Linked DNA regions of Caenorhabditis elegans. The protein of the gene in region 3 purifies or fractionates together with the protein of the main gene of each other region. This does not show direct contact. Each region holds a gene or a part of one and is shown on either strand. Other genes may lie near its edges. The genes, in order: rcat-1, chin-1, lec-9 and K01A2.5.

Evidence for each region.
Region 1: the proteins of lec-9 (region 3) and rcat-1 fractionate together in Caenorhabditis elegans (co-fractionation; one large-scale study listed by BioGRID). This does not show direct contact.
Region 2: the proteins of lec-9 (region 3) and chin-1 fractionate together in Caenorhabditis elegans (co-fractionation; one large-scale study listed by BioGRID). This does not show direct contact.
Region 4: the proteins of lec-9 (region 3) and K01A2.5 fractionate together in Caenorhabditis elegans (co-fractionation; one large-scale study listed by BioGRID). This does not show direct contact.

Annotation. Positions count from the first base shown.
Region 1 is NC_003282.8:253,101-257,035, forward strand, and holds rcat-1 (C2H2-type domain-containing protein), read right to left. Parts: upstream 2,330-3,935; 5' UTR 2,327-2,329; coding exon 2,072-2,326; intron 2,019-2,071; coding exon 1,789-2,018; intron 1,740-1,788; coding exon 1,529-1,739; intron 1,486-1,528; coding exon 1,315-1,485; intron 1,265-1,314; coding exon 1,044-1,264; intron 996-1,043; coding exon 794-995; intron 745-793; coding exon 595-744; 3' UTR 519-594; downstream 1-518. Other genes in the region: R02D3.8 (Exonuclease domain-containing protein), read right to left, coding at 2,957-3,097, 3,145-3,250, 3,386-3,558, 3,603-3,832, 3,885-3,935.
Region 2 is NC_003281.10:1,031,211-1,039,261, forward strand, and holds chin-1 (Chimerin 2), read right to left. Parts: upstream 6,003-8,051; 5' UTR 6,001-6,002; coding exon 5,970-6,000; intron 5,885-5,969; coding exon 5,739-5,884; intron 5,691-5,738; coding exon 5,574-5,690; intron 5,245-5,573; coding exon 5,096-5,244; intron 3,827-5,095; coding exon 3,676-3,826; intron 3,260-3,675; coding exon 2,969-3,259; intron 2,065-2,968; coding exon 1,913-2,064; intron 1,612-1,912; coding exon 1,542-1,611; intron 665-1,541; coding exon 506-664; 3' UTR 112-505; downstream 1-111. Other genes in the region: pnpt-1 (polyribonucleotide nucleotidyltransferase), read left to right, coding at 6,299-6,345, 6,395-6,474, 6,628-6,757, 6,834-6,975.
Region 3 is NC_003284.9:17,598,495-17,602,055, forward strand, and holds lec-9 (Galectin), read left to right. Parts: upstream 1-1,992; 5' UTR 1,993-2,028; coding exon 2,029-2,052; intron 2,053-2,110; coding exon 2,111-2,193; intron 2,194-2,241; coding exon 2,242-2,359; intron 2,360-2,731; coding exon 2,732-2,929; 3' UTR 2,930-3,009; downstream 3,010-3,561. Other genes in the region: C16H3.3 (INCENP_ARK-bind domain-containing protein), read right to left, coding at 3,483-3,527.
Region 4 is NC_003280.10:300,742-304,178, forward strand, and holds K01A2.5 (AB hydrolase-1 domain-containing protein), read left to right. Parts: upstream 1-1,663; 5' UTR 1,664-1,673; coding exon 1,674-1,955; intron 1,956-2,014; coding exon 2,015-2,168; intron 2,169-2,379; coding exon 2,380-2,491; intron 2,492-2,611; coding exon 2,612-2,861; 3' UTR 2,862-2,918; downstream 2,919-3,437. Other genes in the region: K01A2.6 (AMIN domain-containing protein), read left to right, coding at 1-26; col-69 (Nematode cuticle collagen N-terminal domain-containing protein), read right to left, coding at 3,183-3,355.

The DNA.
Region 1 (3,935 bases), on a different chromosome or scaffold from region 3:
GTTTTGTATTTTTCGACATCGGCTGCCGCCGGTTAGAGGAGTTTCAATAGAGTGATTTTTTACAATAAATTGCCCAATTTTTGCCAGTTTTTAATGGTTTTGATAGGTTTAACCTAGATTTTCTGAACGCTGCATAAATGAATTACCCGTTTTCAACAAATTTGGACAATATTCAAATAATATATGACTGCCCTTTTTTTGGGCAAGAAATTTTTTTTTTTGAAATTGTACAGAACCATTAGAATTTGAAAAAGGGAAACTTTTTAGTATTGGGAGATCAATTTTGAGTCCTCTAACTACAAAATTGCCCATTTTAGAGGAGTTTCAAAATTGTGCATTTTTGCCACTTTTGAATAGTTTTTGATGTGTTAAACCTAGATTTTCTGAATTCAGCATACATGAATTACCCGTTTTCAACAAAACCAGACAACTTTTTATTTTTGCCCAAATTTTTTTCAGCCATCAGCATACAGCGTTTATTGTCAGGCATTTGAGATATAACTCTTTTTCGATTTGAATTATCTAATAAACTTTCATGATATGAATAAATAACAAGAACAACATATTTAATATCGCAAAAATGTATTAAATCGACTAAAAATTTAAGCCAATTGTGATTTTTCCAGCATCGTTTGGTGGCATCGTATCCACATCAACTACGTTGATATATTCATCTTCTTCCGCAGTTTCTGAATCCACAACTTGTTCGCGATGTTTTGCAGAATTATTTTCTGAAGTAGTTGCCTGAAAATTCAATTTTTGAGTTTTCAGAACAATTTAACCGTCTGTAAACCTTTTCAATGTTATCAGGTTTGCTTTGCATCCTTGGAATTTTCGCCTTAACCTCATCATCATCTTCTTCTCTCGGTTCTTTCGTACTATCTGCAGCAACGGCTCGCCGCTCTTTCAAACTAATCGGAATCGCAGAAGATTTTGCAGTGTCCGTTAAAAAACCAAGCTTCTCCCGTTCTCTATTGTACCGAACTGTGATATTTCTGCAAAAAACATTATATTTGCCTACTGTTTCGGATGATTACCCTCACCTAATATCATTCTTTGAGATATATTTTAATTTACACTCGTAGTCCTTGTACTCATTCCGAATAAAGAAGAAGATCTGATCAGAAGTCCATCCCAAGTCAATTAGCTCACGAACATATTTTTCCTGAGATTCGGTGAGCCATAGAAGTTTGTGATCAAGATCATGTCCGATATGAGTAAAGCATCCAGTTGCCCAAGTTGAACCGTCCTCTTCTGTTGTGACCTGAAATATTTTTCAAAATTTTAAAACAAATTTTTTAAAAAATGTTTTACTTTCAAATATGCTGTACAAGTCTGGTCAATCTTCCTGGGATTCGATTTCCTGGATTTTGCGACACTTTGATACTTTCCGACACGATGACACCTATAAAGTGTTTCTCCAGCATGTCCTGTACGTTTTGTCAACGATGTACATGTGTCCTCCTGTCTCTGATCGAACCATTCCTAAAATTAGATTTTTGTCATTTTATCGAGAATATTTAAAAACCTTAAACTGGTCTCTTGATTGGAAAAACTCTCGTTCTAAATTAAACTTCTGATCATGGGACATGTGTTCTTGACGGCAATGCAGTAAAAATTCATCCAACGACTCTGATGTACTCGAACATTCGGGACATTTTAAATTACATCCACGATATTTTCCTGGTAGTTGCATTAACGAGAATTTTGAAGGTTTTTCAATAATGGTGGCAATTTGGCTGAAAATCATAGTTTTTGACAGAAACCTTTATTTTTTCTAATTCCAACCATTCCTGCGTTAAATGATGTGGCTGGATTGGACGAGAAGCTTGTCGATGTGGCGGAATATTCATCTCGAAACTATCTCCAGATGATGTGGATGGTTTTTGTGTAGATTCTTTAGTTTCATTGATATCATATTCATTGATTCCAACAACTTCTTCTTCTCCTTCAACAATCATTTCATCTATATAAACATCAAGATGCTCGTTGTCATGTTGCGGTTGTTCAGTGCACATCTGCAAGATCCAATTTTTATATTTAGTTTTCCAGAAGAATAGGGTTGTATTACCTTTTTATGCTGAACCAGATGCTTGACACTTCGAAATATCATCCTACAGTGGCAGCAAACAAACGATGTGCTAGATGCTCGGCTCTTTTTTTCAGATTTTATAGCGGCAATCAGTTCCTGACAATCTTCAGTTGTCCAATTATGAATCTGTGTCATGTGACGATAGATATTCTTTTGTAGACATGTTAGGGCGCATTCTGGGCATCGTATCTGATCAATAATGCAGGACTCGAGTTCGATAGGATTTGTGGTCATTTCCTGCAATTTTCAAACATTTCTATATCCGGAAGTGAAAAATACGTGTTTTCAAGGATTATCAGTTCCAGAAAAATTGGCATTCACTTTTGTGAATTTTTTTGCGTTAAATTCTAAAAGTTTATGGAAAATTGACAAAAATCAGAGGAAAATAGAAAATTAAAACGATTGGTAGGATTTACGCTCGTAAATCCTGTCACTTCGACGCGTCGCGTGTTCGCGTTGCGTGTCTGCAAGTCCGCTCCATTGCAGAGAACTTTAAGCGCGATGTTTGAAATAATATTTTTTGTGTCTTATAAAGCTTTATTAAATACAACTGAAGTTGCAATTTTTTTTCAGATTGGACCGAGAGAGAAAACTTTTTATGAATATTTTCAAGCGGTTAAAAAATCAATTTAAAAGGGAAGAAAGTGGCGAAACTTCTTCAGTGTGTAGACTTCCTCATGGCGGAGAGAATTGACAGATTAAAACTTCCAAAAAAATCTAATTTCTAGAAACGTATACGTGAAACTGTACTTGCAATTCGATATTCTCGCTATATTTTTTGCAAAGATTTATTGTTCTGAACGGAAAAATGGCGGAAAAGTCAATATTTCGTATTAATACATATTGCTGAAAAATCGACAAAAATTATTTCCTCGCATCTCTGAACACCCTCCGCGTCATTGTGTCTTTGGAGCCTGTGATTTGATAGTTGTGCCCGTTCATGCCCAAACACCGGACAATTTCGCAGATATTTGCCACGTCATCAATTCCACTGTGGTGGCGACCCTGGAAAATTAGAATTTTGCTGAGATTTCAGAATTTCAGTAGAAAACCTGATGTTGCAGCTTGTAGATGGCCAGAAGCTGGGCTATTCCTTTCGCGAAATGATTTGTGTGCTCCGCAGAAGCCTTTTTCACGTTGATCCATTGATTGAAGTACCTGAAGGACAATTTGTTTGGATTTGTGCGGTTCGTGGGACAAAAATGATTGTTTTTTAATGAAATTTCAGATTTTTAGAGTCAAATTGTACGAATTTTCAGCCTCAAATTGTCAGTTTTACTCTAAAAAATTTACTCTGGAATTCCAATATTCTTAAATTTCGCCTCATTCGGCAGCGCGACTTTCAGATCCCAATCTCCACAAGTGACGAATGCAAATTTGCCCTTTTCCAGTCGAGAATCCTCTTTCAGCCAGCTATCAAATTCCGATAAAACTTGTGGAAGCGTCGGTTTTTCGTCAACCATTTCCTGGAATTTTAGCATTTTTTCCTCGAAATTTTTGCATTAAAAACCTGAATAATTCCTGTTAAAGATGTGCAGAAAGATGTGAGCCTTGGACATTCCGTCGGCTTAACGTATTGATGAAAACGACGAATTTCACTCCAATCAGCCGTCGAGAGCTGGACCACTGGGAATTCGATGATTTCTTGGACTGGATGCATCGGCCCTTTCCAGTTATCTTGACACGTGGCTTCGAAGTCTAATACTAGAAGATAATCAAAGTGCTGGCTCATTTTTTGATCTGAAAAGATTAAAATAAAGTTATTTTGCCAAAAAGTAAGCAATCTCCCCACTTTTCGTATCTTTTTTCAGTGAAAAGTTTGGATATCTGGGTGGTTTCTTCA
Region 2 (8,051 bases), on a different chromosome or scaffold from region 3:
GTTCCAAGCCAAAATTCAAGGCTTTGAGCCAAAAACTGCAGAAAAATATGAAAATTTCGGAATTCAACGCGCCAGGGGTCTTAAAATCACAAAATTTTGAGAATTTTTGAATTACAGCTCAATAAATTTATATTCTAAAACTCGGAAAAAAACATTATGCAATAAGAACGTAACAACATGTGAAAAATAAGGAAAAATCATAAATAAATGCATAAAACTGGTCAAAAAACATGCAAAAGCGAGAGAAAACGGGTACCCGATATGTAAATGAAGAAAAGTATGCGGAGAGATGAGAGAAATTGCTGAAGAAAATGCATAAACTGGGAGATATAGATCTAGGAAAATGAAAATTTAGGCAGAGGTTCCCCGGGAAAGTGGTCAAGCCGGCTCGGTGAGCAATTAAAAGTCGAAAATTCCAAATTTTCACAATTTTTCATACGAAAATTTGAGATTTTCGACCCAAAATCGCCGATAGAGCACACTTGCCACCACGGGGAGCAATAAATTAATGATGTTTCGGCACGACACGTGGATTATTGATCAGAAAATGGAGCAGCTGATGGTTCGGCATGGCGGGTATGGAGCCCGAGCAGAAGAGTGTCGGCGAGAAAATTGTCGCCAGATTTTCGACGGTCATCTTGTTTTTTGCACTGTGATCTGCCACCTGGAATTGGGGAAATTTTTTGAAAAATTCCAGAAAATTTGTTTGAAAATTCGAATTTTTTAACTTAAGAACTAATTTTTTAGGGGAAAACTAAATTTCAAGCCAAATAAAAAATATTGGCCACAGCGGGGGTCAAACCTCGGTCTTGTGCTTGGCAGCCATCCGTGTTACCCACTGCGCCATCGGTGCAAGTTTTAAATTTCGCAAAAACTGGGTTTCGGGGTATTTCTAGGGGGTTTGCACTAATTTTTACACCTAAAAGCTATGAAAAATTACTAGAGTTGAGTTTTTAGAATATTTCCTTGTTCTTACGAAAAAAAATTAAGCGAATTTTGCAAAAGTTTGAGCCATAAAACTTTAAAACGCTATGAGAACCAATTCCAAGCAAAATAAAAGAAATTCGCCCCGGCGGGGGTCGAACCCCGGTCGTGTGCTTGGTAGCCATCTGTGTTACCCTCTGAGCCACAGGTGCATTTTTGAAAATTTGCGGAAAATGGGTTTCCGGGAATTCTTAGGGGGTTTAAACTGATTTTTACACCTAAAAGCGATGAAAAATTGACTAGAATTAAGTTATTTGGGGCTTTATTCATTTTTATAAGAAAAATTCGAAATTTGGACAGAAAATAATTCTAAAACTGGTTTTCGACACTTTTAAATGCTTTGAGAACCAATATCAATCAAAACAAAAAATTCGCCGCAGTGGGGGTCGAACCCCGGTCGTGTGCTTGGCAGCCATCCGTGTTACCTACTGAGCCACCGATGCATTTTCGAAATTTCGCGAAAATGGGTTCTAGGGTATTTTCAGGGGGTTTGGAGTGAATTTTTAGGTCAAAAACCTTCGAAAATCCACTTAAATAGTGAAATTTTGAATTTTTACCTTTTTCAAATGCGCCAACACTGCTCCAAGTGTGATTATGTTCGCATCGGACAGCTCCATCATCACTTTTCTGAAATTTTCCAGTAATTTCAGAATGTTTTCCAGTTTTCGAGAGAAAAAATGAAAATTTGGGCAGAGGTTCCCCGGGAAAGTGGTCAAATGGGCTCGGTGAGCAATTTTGGGTGGAAAAATTCAAATTTTCACAGTTTTTTACGCGAAAGTTTGAGATTTCCAAGTCAAAATCGCCGATAGAGCACATTTGCCACGGAATTTCCAAAAAAATTTTTTAAAGCTATTTTTTGGCTCATTTTCACCGGGATTTCTACAATTTTGGGAAAATTTTGGACCCAAAATCCCCAAATTTCCAGCACCTTATCTGCCGCTCCCTCTCATGTGTAGATCGTTGATTCGTCTCCTGGTAGGCGACGAGAAGCTGCTTATGGACGCTGAACGGGATCAGTTGCTGTGGTAGTAGGCGGAAGTAGAGCTTCAAGAGCCCGCAAACTGTGTGAATATCGCAAACCTGAAAAAATTGGTGAAATTTTGAGAAAAATTGAAAGTTTTTTGGGGTAAAAATGAAAATTTGGGCAGAGGTTCCCCGGGAAAGTGGCCAAATGTGCTCGGTGAGCAATAGAGGTCTGAAAATTCCAAATTTTCGTAGTTTTTTATGCGAAAATTTGAAATTTTCAGCCCAAAATCACCGATAGAGCACATTTGCCACGGAAAAGCATACAAAGACAATTTTAAAGAAGAATTCAAAAATTTAGTGAAATTTTTGTGAATTTTCTAGAAAACAATAGACAGTTTTTGAATTTTCGAATTTTTTAGTGTGAGAAAACTAATTTTTTTTCGATATTTTCCAGTAAATTTCAGATTTTTACACAAAAATTGAGTTTCAAGAAAAAATTTGAGTCATAAAACTTTAAATCGTTCTGAGAATCAATTTCAAGCAAAATAAAAGAAATTCGCCGCGGCGAGGGTCGAACCCCGGTCTTGTGCTTGGCAGCCATCTGTGTTACCTACTGAGCCATAGGTGCATATTTGAAATTTCACAAAAAACGGGTTCTAGGATATTGTTAGGGTTTTCAAAGTGAATTTTGCAGTAGAAAACTTGAAAAATTGAGCTGAATATGTGAAATTTCGAGTTTTTCGAGTAAAAATGAAAATTTGGGCAGAGCTTCCCCGGGAAAGTGGTCAAATGTGCTCGGTGAGCAATTCCGGGTGGAAAATTCCAAATTTTAGCAGTTTTTTTATGCGAAAATTTAAAATTTTCAAGCCAAAATCGCCGATAGAGCACATTTGCCACGGAAATCTTATTTTAGGTCAATTTTCTTCAATTTTTACGATTTTTGGCTCATTTTCTTTGGATTTTTGCAATTTTTTAGGCAAAAACTCCGGGAAAACGCTGAAAATCCCGCGCAAATTACCGTAGCCAAGTCCACATATTGATTAGAATCAAACTGTTGCTTGAGCTTTTCCATATGATCATAGGATCCCGAAACCCGATAAATCCCCTCCACATCAAGACCCCTCGATTCGACTTCTCCAATGCAAAGTGGCACGATTGGCGGCAAATCTGCTCCGTGAGCCATGCACAGGGTGGTAATGTCGACGCCGAACATGCGTTTCACGTATTTCGAGTCGGGCACACAGTCGTGAAGCGTTTTTTCCGAGCATTTTTTGTGAGCCGCGAAGCCACAGTCCTCGCATCGCATTCCCTGGAAAATTTGATTTTTTTGAAATTGTTTCTCGAAAAAATATTAATTGCGCTAATCCTTCATAAAATTCGAAATCAGCGCAAAATTTAGCCTTAAATAGCTTTAACTCAGACTTTCTAGCTCAATTTTGAAATTTCGCGGGGTACTGTAGCTCCAAAAGTACGCAAACACCGACTACAGTAACCCGAAACACCGGATCTTACGTAATTGCGAGATTTTTGCCTGAAAAACGAGTTCCGGGGGTAAAATAGTGCGGGGAATTCGAAAAAGGCATTAAAAATCCGAAGAAATTGCCAGTTTTTGCGAAAATTGTGTTTTTTTCATGAATTTTTTTCAAAAAATTCCAGAATTTCGCCCTAAAATTTCACAATTTCCAGTTTTTTCTTAATTTTCGCGTATATTTTATAATATTTTACCTGATGCACCAATCCCCACAGGAAATTTCGGCAATAATCACAGTAGTGCGGAGCTTTGAAGGTGTACGACGTGAAGTTGTGTGCTCGAGTGACGGGACGGCGTACAATGTCTGAAGTGGTGGCGGCGGCGTTCGTATACCGAGAATATGGGCTGAAAAATCGATATTTCTATGGGGAAAACTGGAAAAACCGCAAAAATCTAAACTGTTTAAGGTAAAAATGAAAATTTGGGCAGAGGTTCCCCGGGAAAGTGGTCAAATGGGCTCGGTGAGCAATGTCGGGTGGAAAATTTCAAAATTTTTCAGTTTTTAATGCAAAAATTTGAAATTTTCAGCCCGTAATCGCCGATAGAGCACATTTGCCACGGAAAAGCGTACAAAGACAATTTCTAGGGAGAATTCAAAAATTCAGAGAAAGTTTTCGAATTTTCTAGAAAAAAATTGGAATTTTTGACGCGTTTCGTAGCTTTTTAGCACTGAAAAATCTAAATTAGGGCAAAAAGACTAGTTTTTGGATATTTTTCAGTTTTTACCGTAAACTTGTCATATTTTTTCACTATTTTCCGATTTTTACATCAAAATTTGACCAAAATCAGGGAAAACTCAATTTTTCGGCAATTTTACGGTAATTTTGAGCTCTCGAAGCTTAAAATTAGCAATATTTTAATTTTTTCAAGTTTTTAAGGTAAAAATCGAAATTTGGGCAGAGGTTCCCCGGGAAAGTGGTCAAATGGGCTCGGTGAGCAATTAAAAGCTTAAAAATCCAAATTTTTGCAGTATTTAATGCGAAAATTTGAAATTTCTAAGCCAAAATCGCCGATAGAGCACATTTGCCACGGAGAAAACAGAAAGTAGGTTTGAATTATTTAAGTGAGCTTTTTATTGAAATTTTTAGAATTTTCTAAGAAAAAATTGGCAGTTTTTGAATTTTCGACGCGTTTTGTAGTTTTTAGCATTTAAAAATTAACGTTAGGGCAAGAAATCTAGTTTTTACCATATTTTTCAGTAAATTTCAGATTTTTCCCACTATTTTCCGATTTTTGGAGCAAAATTCAACCAAAAACCCGAAAATTTTGCATTTTTGAGCTATTTTACGCTTTAAAAGCAGAAAATTAGCGAAAATGTCATGTTTCCAAAGTTTTTGAGGTAAAAATGAAAATTCGGGCAGAGGTTCCCCGGGAAAATGGTCAAATGTGCTCGGTGAGCAATTAAAAGCTTAAAAATCCAAATTTTTGCAGTATTTAATGCGAAAATTTGAAATTTCCCGCCTAAAATCGCCGATAGAGCACATTTGCCACGGAATTTATATTCTAAGTCAATTTTCTTCAATTTTTATAATTTTTGGCTCATTTTCTTGTGATTTTTGCCATTTTTCATGATTTTCGGCCTATTTTTCGCTAATGTTCCGCCAATTCCCATACCTATCCTCATAAATCGCCTCATCCGCCATTCTTTTTATATAATCCGCCGCGTGAAGGTCCACAAACATTGAAATGAGCCCATCAGCCACCAAAAGGTCCATAGTGTCGAAACGCTTCTCCCCAACGTAGAATTGACCGTCGTAGTAGAGCTGGAAATTTAAAAATTTGGCTAAAAATTGAAAAAATCCCAAGTTTTTGAATTAAAAATGAAAATTTGGGCAGCGGTTCCCAGGGAAAGTGGTCAAATGTGCTCGCGGAGCAATTTTAGGTGAAAAATTCCGAATTCTCGCAGTTTTTTATGCAAAAATTCGAGATTTCCAGCCTAAAATTGCCGATAGAGCGCATTTGCCACGGCGAGTTAACAAAAATTGGGAATTTTTCACTAAATTCGAAAATTTAGCGGAAAATTTGATATTTTTCGGGTATTTTCTTGATGTTTATCGATTTTTTCTGCTTTTTAAACTCTAAAAATGCTTACTTTATAATTCATAACCTTTGCATCAAAAATCATACACAAAGTGCACGCGTCTCTGCTCCGATTCGACTCCCGCACCAAATACGAGCCTTCTCCGGCCTCCAGCAGCATTTTTTCGGCCTGAAAATCGAATTTTCGAGCTTAAAACACCCAAAAATCACTAAAAACCTCATTTCTATCGATTAATCCGTGAAATTCGGCTCCAAAATGTCGAGGTCTCTGCTGAAGAGGTTTTCGGCACAAAACTGCGTTGGGTTTCGGCGCTTTTTCTTGTAAAAGGTACAAATTTTGCTTCCAGTATCCTTTTGATGCTCCTGGAAATTGGAAAATTTGAGATTTTAGCTTTTCGGATATTTTTAAAGCTTCCAAAACTTGTTGAGCTTGAAAAAAATGACTTACCCGAGCTCCCAGGAGGCCCGTCGTCTTCCATACCTGCAAAAATTCGATTTTTATTGATTTTTTAACTGAAAATGCAAAAAAATCGAAGAAATTTGGAGAAAAATGAGCAAAGTTGAGCTAATTTCTTAGAAAATAAATAAAATTCTGAAGAAAATCGCGAAAAGTGCCAGCGATCGAGACACGCGCCAGCAAAATTTCCTTGGCGCATTTCTCGACCAAATTATTTTTTTAATTCAAAACTTGAAAATATTGAATTTTCACTCATTTTCGCTGTTTTTTTCTCAATTTTTCGATAAAAATTGAATAAAAATTAGTTTTTTAGATTAAAAATGAAACTTTCCCGGTTGCCAATCCACATTTCCAAGAGATTTCACACGTAAGTCAGAAAATTATTCAAAAAAATAAAAATCTGGCGAGTTTTCCAGGAAAGAATATCGATTAGCGGGTCGAGAACAATCAGTAGCAGTGGATTTTGATGGAAAAAGTGGAATCGAGCTGAAAGCTGGTGGGAATTTGAAAAAAAACTAGAAAAAAAACGGGAAAAATTGCTAAAAATCTTAAAAATAAAGATTTCGAGCCGATTTTTGCCGCAAAAGATGCGCGAAAAAATTCTCCACTGTCTAGAAAAGGAATTTTCATGAAAATTTTGATTTTTCAGGCCACCTCGCCCGTTTTGCGTCATCCACCGTAGTTGCTTCATTCGGAGACAACGCCGTGATGGCTACAGTAGTACAACGGAAATCCAAGCAAGGAGATGGTAGTGGAGTACCGCTACAAGTTGAATATCGGTGAGAAATTCGGAAAAAAAATTGCGAAAAAACCGCTAAAAACCGATAAAAATGGCCTAAAAACTGAAAATTCCAGACCGTCAGCGTCAGCAATTGGCCGAATTCCAACAAATTTCCTGCGTCGTGAGCTCAGTCAATCTGACAATGAAATCCTCATCTCCAGAGCCATTGACAGGTCGATTAGACCACTTTTACCCGGAAATTCCTATGAAACTCAGGTAAAACTGGGATTTTCAGCGAAATTCAGAGGTTTTTGTTGGAAAAATCGAATTCTACGCGAAATTCTGCCTTAAGACCTTTAAAATTGGGTTTTCTATCGCAATTTTTGGAGTTTTGGGGTACGGTAGCCCCAAAAGTACGCAAACACCGACTACCGTAGCCCAAAACACCGGATCTTACGACATTTTAAGATTTTGCCCTGAAAAATGGGCTGAGGGGCTAAAAAATCACGAGGAACCCGAAAAACACATTGAAAACGTCTGAAAAATTCTGAAAATTCTGAGAAAATCGAATTTTTCAAAAATTTTAGTGCAAAAAATTGAAAAACCAACGGGAAAAGTTAAAAATTCGAAATCAGCGCAAAGTTTAGCTTTGAACAGCTTTTAGTATGACTTTTTAGCTCAATTTGGAATTTCGCGGGGTACTGTAGCCCCAAAAGTACGCAAACACCGACTACCGTAACCCAAAACACCAAATCTTACGACATTGGTGGAAAAAAAGGGGTTTAGGCTTAAAAAATTACAAAAAACTCCAATTTTCTAGTTCGAAATTACTAAAATTGAGGGAATTATGTTTTTTTTTCCAAAAAAAAAAAGTTTTTAAACATAAAAATTTAAAATTGGTTAAAAAGCCGTAAAAAAGTTCCGGAAATTCCTAAAATTATCAGATTTTTATGAAAATTTTAGTAATTTCCATACTATTTCTCAAAAAAATTCATTTTTTTTTCGTGGCAAATGTGCTCTATTGGCGATTCTGGGCTCGAAATTTCAAATTTTCGCATTAAAAACTGCGAAATTTTGGAATTTTTTGGCTTTTAATTGCTCACCGAGCACATTTGACCACTTTCCCGGGGAACCTCTGCCCAAATTTACATTTTTAACTGAAAAACTTCGGAAAATTCAAATTTTTGCTAATTCTAAGCTTTTAAAGCTCAAAATTACATTTAAATGGCTTGAAAATTCAGTTTTCCCCGATTTTGGTCAAGTTTTGGTGTAAAAATCGAAAAATTGCAAAAATCTGACAAAAAAAAAACAGGTTTTTGTCCAAATTTTGATTTTTTCAGTGCTAAAAAACT
Region 3 (3,561 bases):
TTTTAGATCTGAAAATTTAGTTTTTCTTTTAGATGAAGTAGCGTTAGTAAAATGAGAAAATATCACACAAATTTTCAATTTTTCTTTTAAATTAATTCAATTACGGTAAGACTTTGAAGTTTTTGCAGTGTTACTTGCTCATATTGAACGAAATGAAGCGTAATTAACAAAATTCAAACTGGCCCTACTTCTTCTTCAAGTTCAGTGGACCCTGTGACTTGAAGCAGTGTAAAACTTAGTTATAATCTCTGTAATCCAATTTCAACAGTTTTGCTCAAGTAGAACCACTATTTCCAACTCGCTTCAGTGTCATAGTGTCCTTTTCAGCTAGAACGATGACTACCGACGAGTTAGAAATTGTGTCTGCTTGTTGAATGAATAAAGTTGCTCCAGGAGCATGGTTGGGAATGAATGATAAGAACTGATGGCTATCAGGAATTGTGTAGCATTAAACCTTGTGGCACGCCCTACACAATGATGACGTCATTGAGGTGAAGAGTGGGAGGGGACCATTGGAATGCATTGTGCCAACAAGAATAAGTTTAAGCCTGCTCGACACGATGAAAATTATTTTAATGTTCTCAGAAAACCCGAAAAAAACTGTGAAAATAATCATAACTATTGAAAAATCTTACAATTTTTCACAAAACGGAAGTTAAGAGTTTCCACCGATTTAAATTAAAATAAAATATCGCGACTGGAACTCATTATAGTTAGTCGATTGCTCTACATTTAGGCAAGCAGAAAGAAAACTAGACATGGCGTGCAACAAGGAAACAGAAAAAGGTACTTAATTCTTTCAATGTTGCAGTGCCTTCGATTACAACTTAATTGAATTCGAGAAACTTGCAAGATAGCGAGGAAATTGAAATTTTGGAGTTTACTTGCTGACACTATGTCCGTGGAAAAACTGGCACAACAAATGAAATTTTTTAAAAATTTGATATAGGGTTTCTGTAATACAGGTATGTAAAAACAGTGTTTGAGAAAACTTGATGTGGTGCTTATTATTCAGTTTACTACTTCCTACAATTTTTTTTAATTTTACAGCGGCAGACTTTTTATGGGAAAATTTTTATAAGCCAATCTGGGATTTCAACAGATTTGTTTGAGAGAACTAAGAGCCGACAGAAATCGATGACAGCCATTGGCTACTGATGAGCATCATTGGATAAGAATAATTGTTTTTTTTTTAATTTTGTTTGAAAGATACATTTTTACGACTGCAAAACCAGCGGATTCATGGCATTTAATCCTAATCAGAATAATTTCATCTGAGAATCACAAATCAACAAATGCCAATGTTCAAGTTTTGTCTTCGGGAAAATTTCAGCTTTTAGCTTTAATTTCTGTACCGTTTCCGAAACTCTAAAAAACAAACATTTTGTTGTCACGTGAAGTTTTCGTTTTTCCTGTTTTGAAAAATCTTAATTGTTCAAATTTTCAGGACAGTTTTTAAAGAATAATTTCTGATCATTAGGTATTAAAAAAATTTATTTTTCTCAATAAAACCAACCCCTTATTATTATTTTTAAAATTCTAGATTTTTTCATATGTCCATTTTTCTCAAATAACACTGAAAAAACCAATAATTTTCCTGATATCTACAATTTAGTTGAATCAGAAGTTAGACGATTGTCTTCTCGGCTTGTAAACTGTCACTTAAAATAATCGTCCTAATTCCCGTTTTACGCTATCAAAAAGTATTTTAAATGTCAACTAACACATCATGCACTTTGCGACAATCAAACAAACTCTTCATAGTACTCCCCAGGAAAACGATGACTATTTGGCAGAGAAACGCATAAAATTCCATTTTCAATCCATATTGTAAACATTTTTGTATTAGGCAGGCAAAACGTGACACGTCATTCCAGTGATATCGAAAGTTTACACGGCCAAACTTCATCGCAGCTGAGAGGAAGAAGGCATAGATAAGAAAGTGAGAATAAATAGGCCACAACCGAGAATCGAAACACTTGAAATTCATATCTTGAAGTTTCATTTCATTTCATTTTTTTTCTGAAAATGGCCGCTCCAATTCTCAATCCAGTAAGTCAACCCTCCCCTCCTCTTTCCAAAACAAAACTAATTCAAAAAGCGTTTTCAGTCAGTCCCAGGAACCTTTGCTCTCCCCTTCGGAGTTCGCAGCGGACTTCAAATTGCTGTCAATGGATTGGTTAAGCACAAAAAGTGGGTTTTAAAAGATATCAACATAAAAATGATGACATCGGTTTTCAGGGACTTTGTCGTCAACCTGATCTCCGGTGGAAACATCGCTCTTCACGTCAACTTCCGATTCGAGAAGCAGAAGATTGTGGCAATCAACGCTAAAATTGATAATGCATGGGGAAACGAGGTACGTTGTTTTGAAATCAGACTGTTTAGCGGGAAGAGTTGGATTGAATTTGTATGCATAAGTTCATAAAAAATCGTGTGTGGGAAACTCTGAATGTTTTGAGTCGCTCGGTAGTTAGGTTGTTTTCCAACATAGGTTGCACTGTTAGTGAAACTAAATTATAAACATACAATGAATTCCTGTAAGCTATGTAGTTTGCAGATAGCATGGCAACCTAGGCCAAAAAGCTACATTACGCTTCAGTCACAGAGTGCCATTGGCGAACACTTGCATGCTCTTAACAACCTGTAACAGAAGGGTGGGCACCATTAAAAACAAAATTCCCTCCAAATTTCCAGTCCCATTTTCGTGGACCAAAATTGAAAATTTCAGATCTCCCACGCCAACCCACTTCACCACGACCAGGCCTTCGACCTGCAAATCCGTGTCTACCCAGGATACTTCCACATCACCACCAACGGAGTTCTTCTCGGAGACTTCCCACATCGTCTTCCCTTTGAAAGCATTCAGGCTATCAATCTCGAAGGAAAAGTTCACATTAACAATGTTCAATATTCTCAATTCCATTAAATTAGTCGTTACCACATTTTTTCAATTTCTTTTTTATTGGACACTTTTGTAATAAACATGTGCAAAACTGCCGTCTTTTGACTGCTCTTATCAGTTTAGCATTGCTGGCAAATAGCTATAATTTCGAGAAACACTGGACAGTTTCGAAACTTGAGTGTTTGAATTCTTGGCATACTAGTTTTTGCGATTGTGTTTCACAAATATTTATCAGGAAATTAAATATTAATTTAGAAAATGATAGTACAGGTGGGATAGGGAAACATTGACAAATTGCGAGTTTCAGAGGAGGTTTTTGGCAGAATTGAAAAGTAGAGATTAACTGAGAGAGGTGGAGAAAATTGCAAGAATAAAGCCATGGACAGGAAAACAGGAAAAATAAAAACATTCAATATAATACAAACTTTAAAAATTCCAAAATATATATAGAGAGTACAACTTTTTGTTTGGGCTGATAGTTTTTTGATACATAAATCGACAAGTAAATTTTTAGTGACTTTGATTAATTTTTATTCATACAAATTGTTGATTAGTTGATGCTACTAGAGTAGAAGTTTCAGATTGCACGGTTGTGAGCAGGATAACGGTATGGGTATGTCGGCTGAAAAAGTACATTCGAACTCATTTCTTTTTTA
Region 4 (3,437 bases), on a different chromosome or scaffold from region 3:
ACCCCAATGAACACTGCGACACATAGTACCCTGCGACAGTATATAGAAGAATCCTAAGACGAGCTAGAGTATTCAGAGATCGACAAGGACAGCTCACGGATCAATGGGAGCCGCTTGGAGATCCAGTGGAAGTGGAGTCTTGGACATTGACACGGAAACAAGGGAATACTGGAAAATGAGAAAATCGTCTTCAAGTTTTTCTCTAATATTGTAATTTTCAAGTTTTATTGATTAAATTTGGTTCATAAAAATTTATTTGTGTTCGACAACATGGGTGAAGCCGCATTGTTCCAGATGTGTAAAACTGTGTTGTCCTAAAAGATCAAAGACCCAAGCTTGACAAATCTGAAAAAAATGCTTTCAGCACTCCCCGCAAAATCACATGATTCGATCATCAATTTCCTCTTTGCGGTTTTATACAATACCTTCAGACAATAGGAACAATTTTCTGTCTCTTCCATATCCCTTTTCCCTTTCATTTCCCATTTATTTCCCTCTGTGTGTCCAAGTGCCTGTGTTCTTCTCCTTCTTCTTTCATCTTAACAACATCTTCCTCCGACTGCGTTTGTACACTTTCACCTGTTATTCCCTATTTACCCTCATATCCTAGATTGAAATCTGCATACTCTCCCAGTATAAATCAAAAGGTTTACTTTACTGTTTCATAGTTCCTTTTTATTAGAAACTACACATTTATATTACAAATAACTAGATGTTTCGGTGTTTTAGTGGTTATGTTTTTTTTAATAATTTTTATTACCTTTCTAGAATCTTCCAAAATTTTCTCGAATTATTCTGAAGGTTCCAGAACCTTCCAAAATTTTCTCGTATTTTCCAGATAGTTCTAGAACATTCCGGAATTCTATCTAATTTTTCAGAAGGTTTTAGAACATTCCAAAACTTTCTCGTATTTTCCAGATGGTTCTAGAACTTTCCGCAGCTTACAGGCACAAAATTAATCCGGTCTTGTCCAAATTCCTTCTGAAATCTTAATCTGTAGGCTACAAATTTCTCATTCCTATCGGACTTTCAAAATCTTTTTCGTAGAACTATTCGTCATTCAAATACATGCACTTTTAAAATTTCCTCTTTGGTTTTCCTTCCTCTTTAGCCTATTTCACCGAATTTTTGAGATCAATAATTCCATGTGTCCGATTTTCGAATAATTTAATATTCACTATCAGTTTTCACGTATCATAATTCTGGAAGTCGATCAAAAAACAATGTTTTGTACTCTACATTTCTGTATTTAAATATTGTAGAGGTTCACAATACATGTTCTCGCTCTTCAGAAAATTCCGAATTCTATAAATGTCGCGGAACCATAATTATTTGGCCTAAACCGATTTCAAATACCTATGTTAATTCTAGGTCAATCCGGTGGTTGTAAATCATCGACAATAACAATATATACGACCTACTGTACTAGTAGGTTGTAAATACTGTAGTACTACCACACCACAAGAGGCGTTCTCTTAGCAATACATTTGAACCTTGACCCTTGTTACGTCTCTTTCTAGGATAGAAGAAATCGGGGAGATGTACTTCAAAGGTGTGCGGTCTCAAAGGTCACAAAGGTGTCTCAAACATTTATATTATCCGGAAAATTTCCTCACCGTCGCTACCTCATAATTAACAAATTAAACACCTAAATAAATTTCAGCAAAAGAAAAATGACTCAAAGCGACTATATCGAAAGTTCGGAACACATCAAGGACACTCAAATCGGTTACTGTAAATACGGCCACGGTCCGAACTACATTCTCGCGATTTGCGGTGCTGTCGGCTGCTATAAAAAAGATTGGCCACTCAAATTGCTCTCTCATTTCCCACCAGATCAGGTCACAATTGTTGGGATTGATCCTCCAGGTTACGGTACCTCAAGACCTCCAGAGCGAAAACAAGAAGTTCAGAGATGTATGAAGGATAGTGAATATTGCCTAGGGTTAATGGAGGTGAGCTTTTAATTTTGAAATTAAAATTTTTACGTTTTCAAAAAGCCTCCAAATTTTAGACCCTGAAACTAGAGCCGTTCACCGTGATGGGGTGGTCAGAAGGTGCTAGAACAACGGTCCACGTGGCAGCTAAAGGAAAGGAAAAAGTGAATCGAATGATTGTAATGGCTGGTGCAACAAAAGTTAATCATCTAGGAGCCATGGCTTTCAAGGGTGAGATATTTAGATATATTTGGAAGATTACTGTTTTTTAATGAAATTTCTTAATTTGACACCAATATGGCCCATTTTTCCACATAGAAGCAGCAATTTATGCCTACCTACCTACAAGATTTTTTATGGGAAAATAAATCGAACGTCCATTTTATGGGTGTGGCCATCTATTGGTTTTGTGCTCTTTATAAATTAATTTTTGGAATTTCAGGAATGCGTGAAACAAATCATTGGCTAGCAGCCGGTCGTCAACCATATTTGGACCATTATTCGCCGGAAACACTCCGGACACAATGGGCGGCACTTTGTGACGTCGTAGATCAGTGAGTTTTGTGGGCGGGGCTTATGCGAAGTTGTGTATATTCCTGTAGGCACAAATATGTCTGCCAACTACCTTCAAGGCGACCTACGTCTGCTTCCTACCTAACCAAACGAATTTTCAGAGTTCACTCGTTCTGCGGTGGCCGTTTCCCGTGTGACCTGGTACTTCCACAAGTCAAATGCCCGACACTAGTGATGAATGGTGGATTGGACCGGTTCTGTGGTGACCCGAATGTATGCTTCATCCCAGTGCTCAAGAGTTTGGCAAAAGTTGAGATTCATGCACAAGGAGGACACGATTTTTATTTGAAATATCCCAAATGGTTTTCCGGAAAGGTTCTGGAATTCTTGAAGAGCACGGAGAAGAAATGATAAATATATGAAATTTGTATTTTGTATTTTGTGAAGAATAAAGTTTATAAAAAATTCGTCCTGGTCTCAAGCAATTTCGCTATTACACTCATAAGCTCCACCCACAAAATGACTGATTTCATTAGGAATTTTGCCAAAAGAAAATTTCAGAAAAAATTCTAAAATTTCCAGAAAAAAAATCTTCCCGTTCACAAAGGGTTTCTGTCCGAGCCTTGTGGGCGGGGCCCATGCGAAGCCCAATTAAAATTTTTGGGACAGTATACTTTCTGGAAACGTCCGTGAAAAAGTTTATACAAATTTATTTCACAAAAATAAAAATAATTACGGACTAGCGTGACTAACAGGCTTCCGGCGAACATTCTTTGCTCTTGTCGCCAAAAGTAGTCGTCTCTGCTTCTTGAGCACTCGAGCCAGCACTCGTTTCCTGTACTCATCCTCTTTATTGTACTCTGACACGTAACGGCTTTGGGATGCTGTGGCGTAGCTTGTGGACACTGTAAAAAATATGTTGAAATTTGAAATTTGAGTTTTTTTAGGCCGTAATATCAGCCCCGCCTACTTAATGGAAAAAAGTAG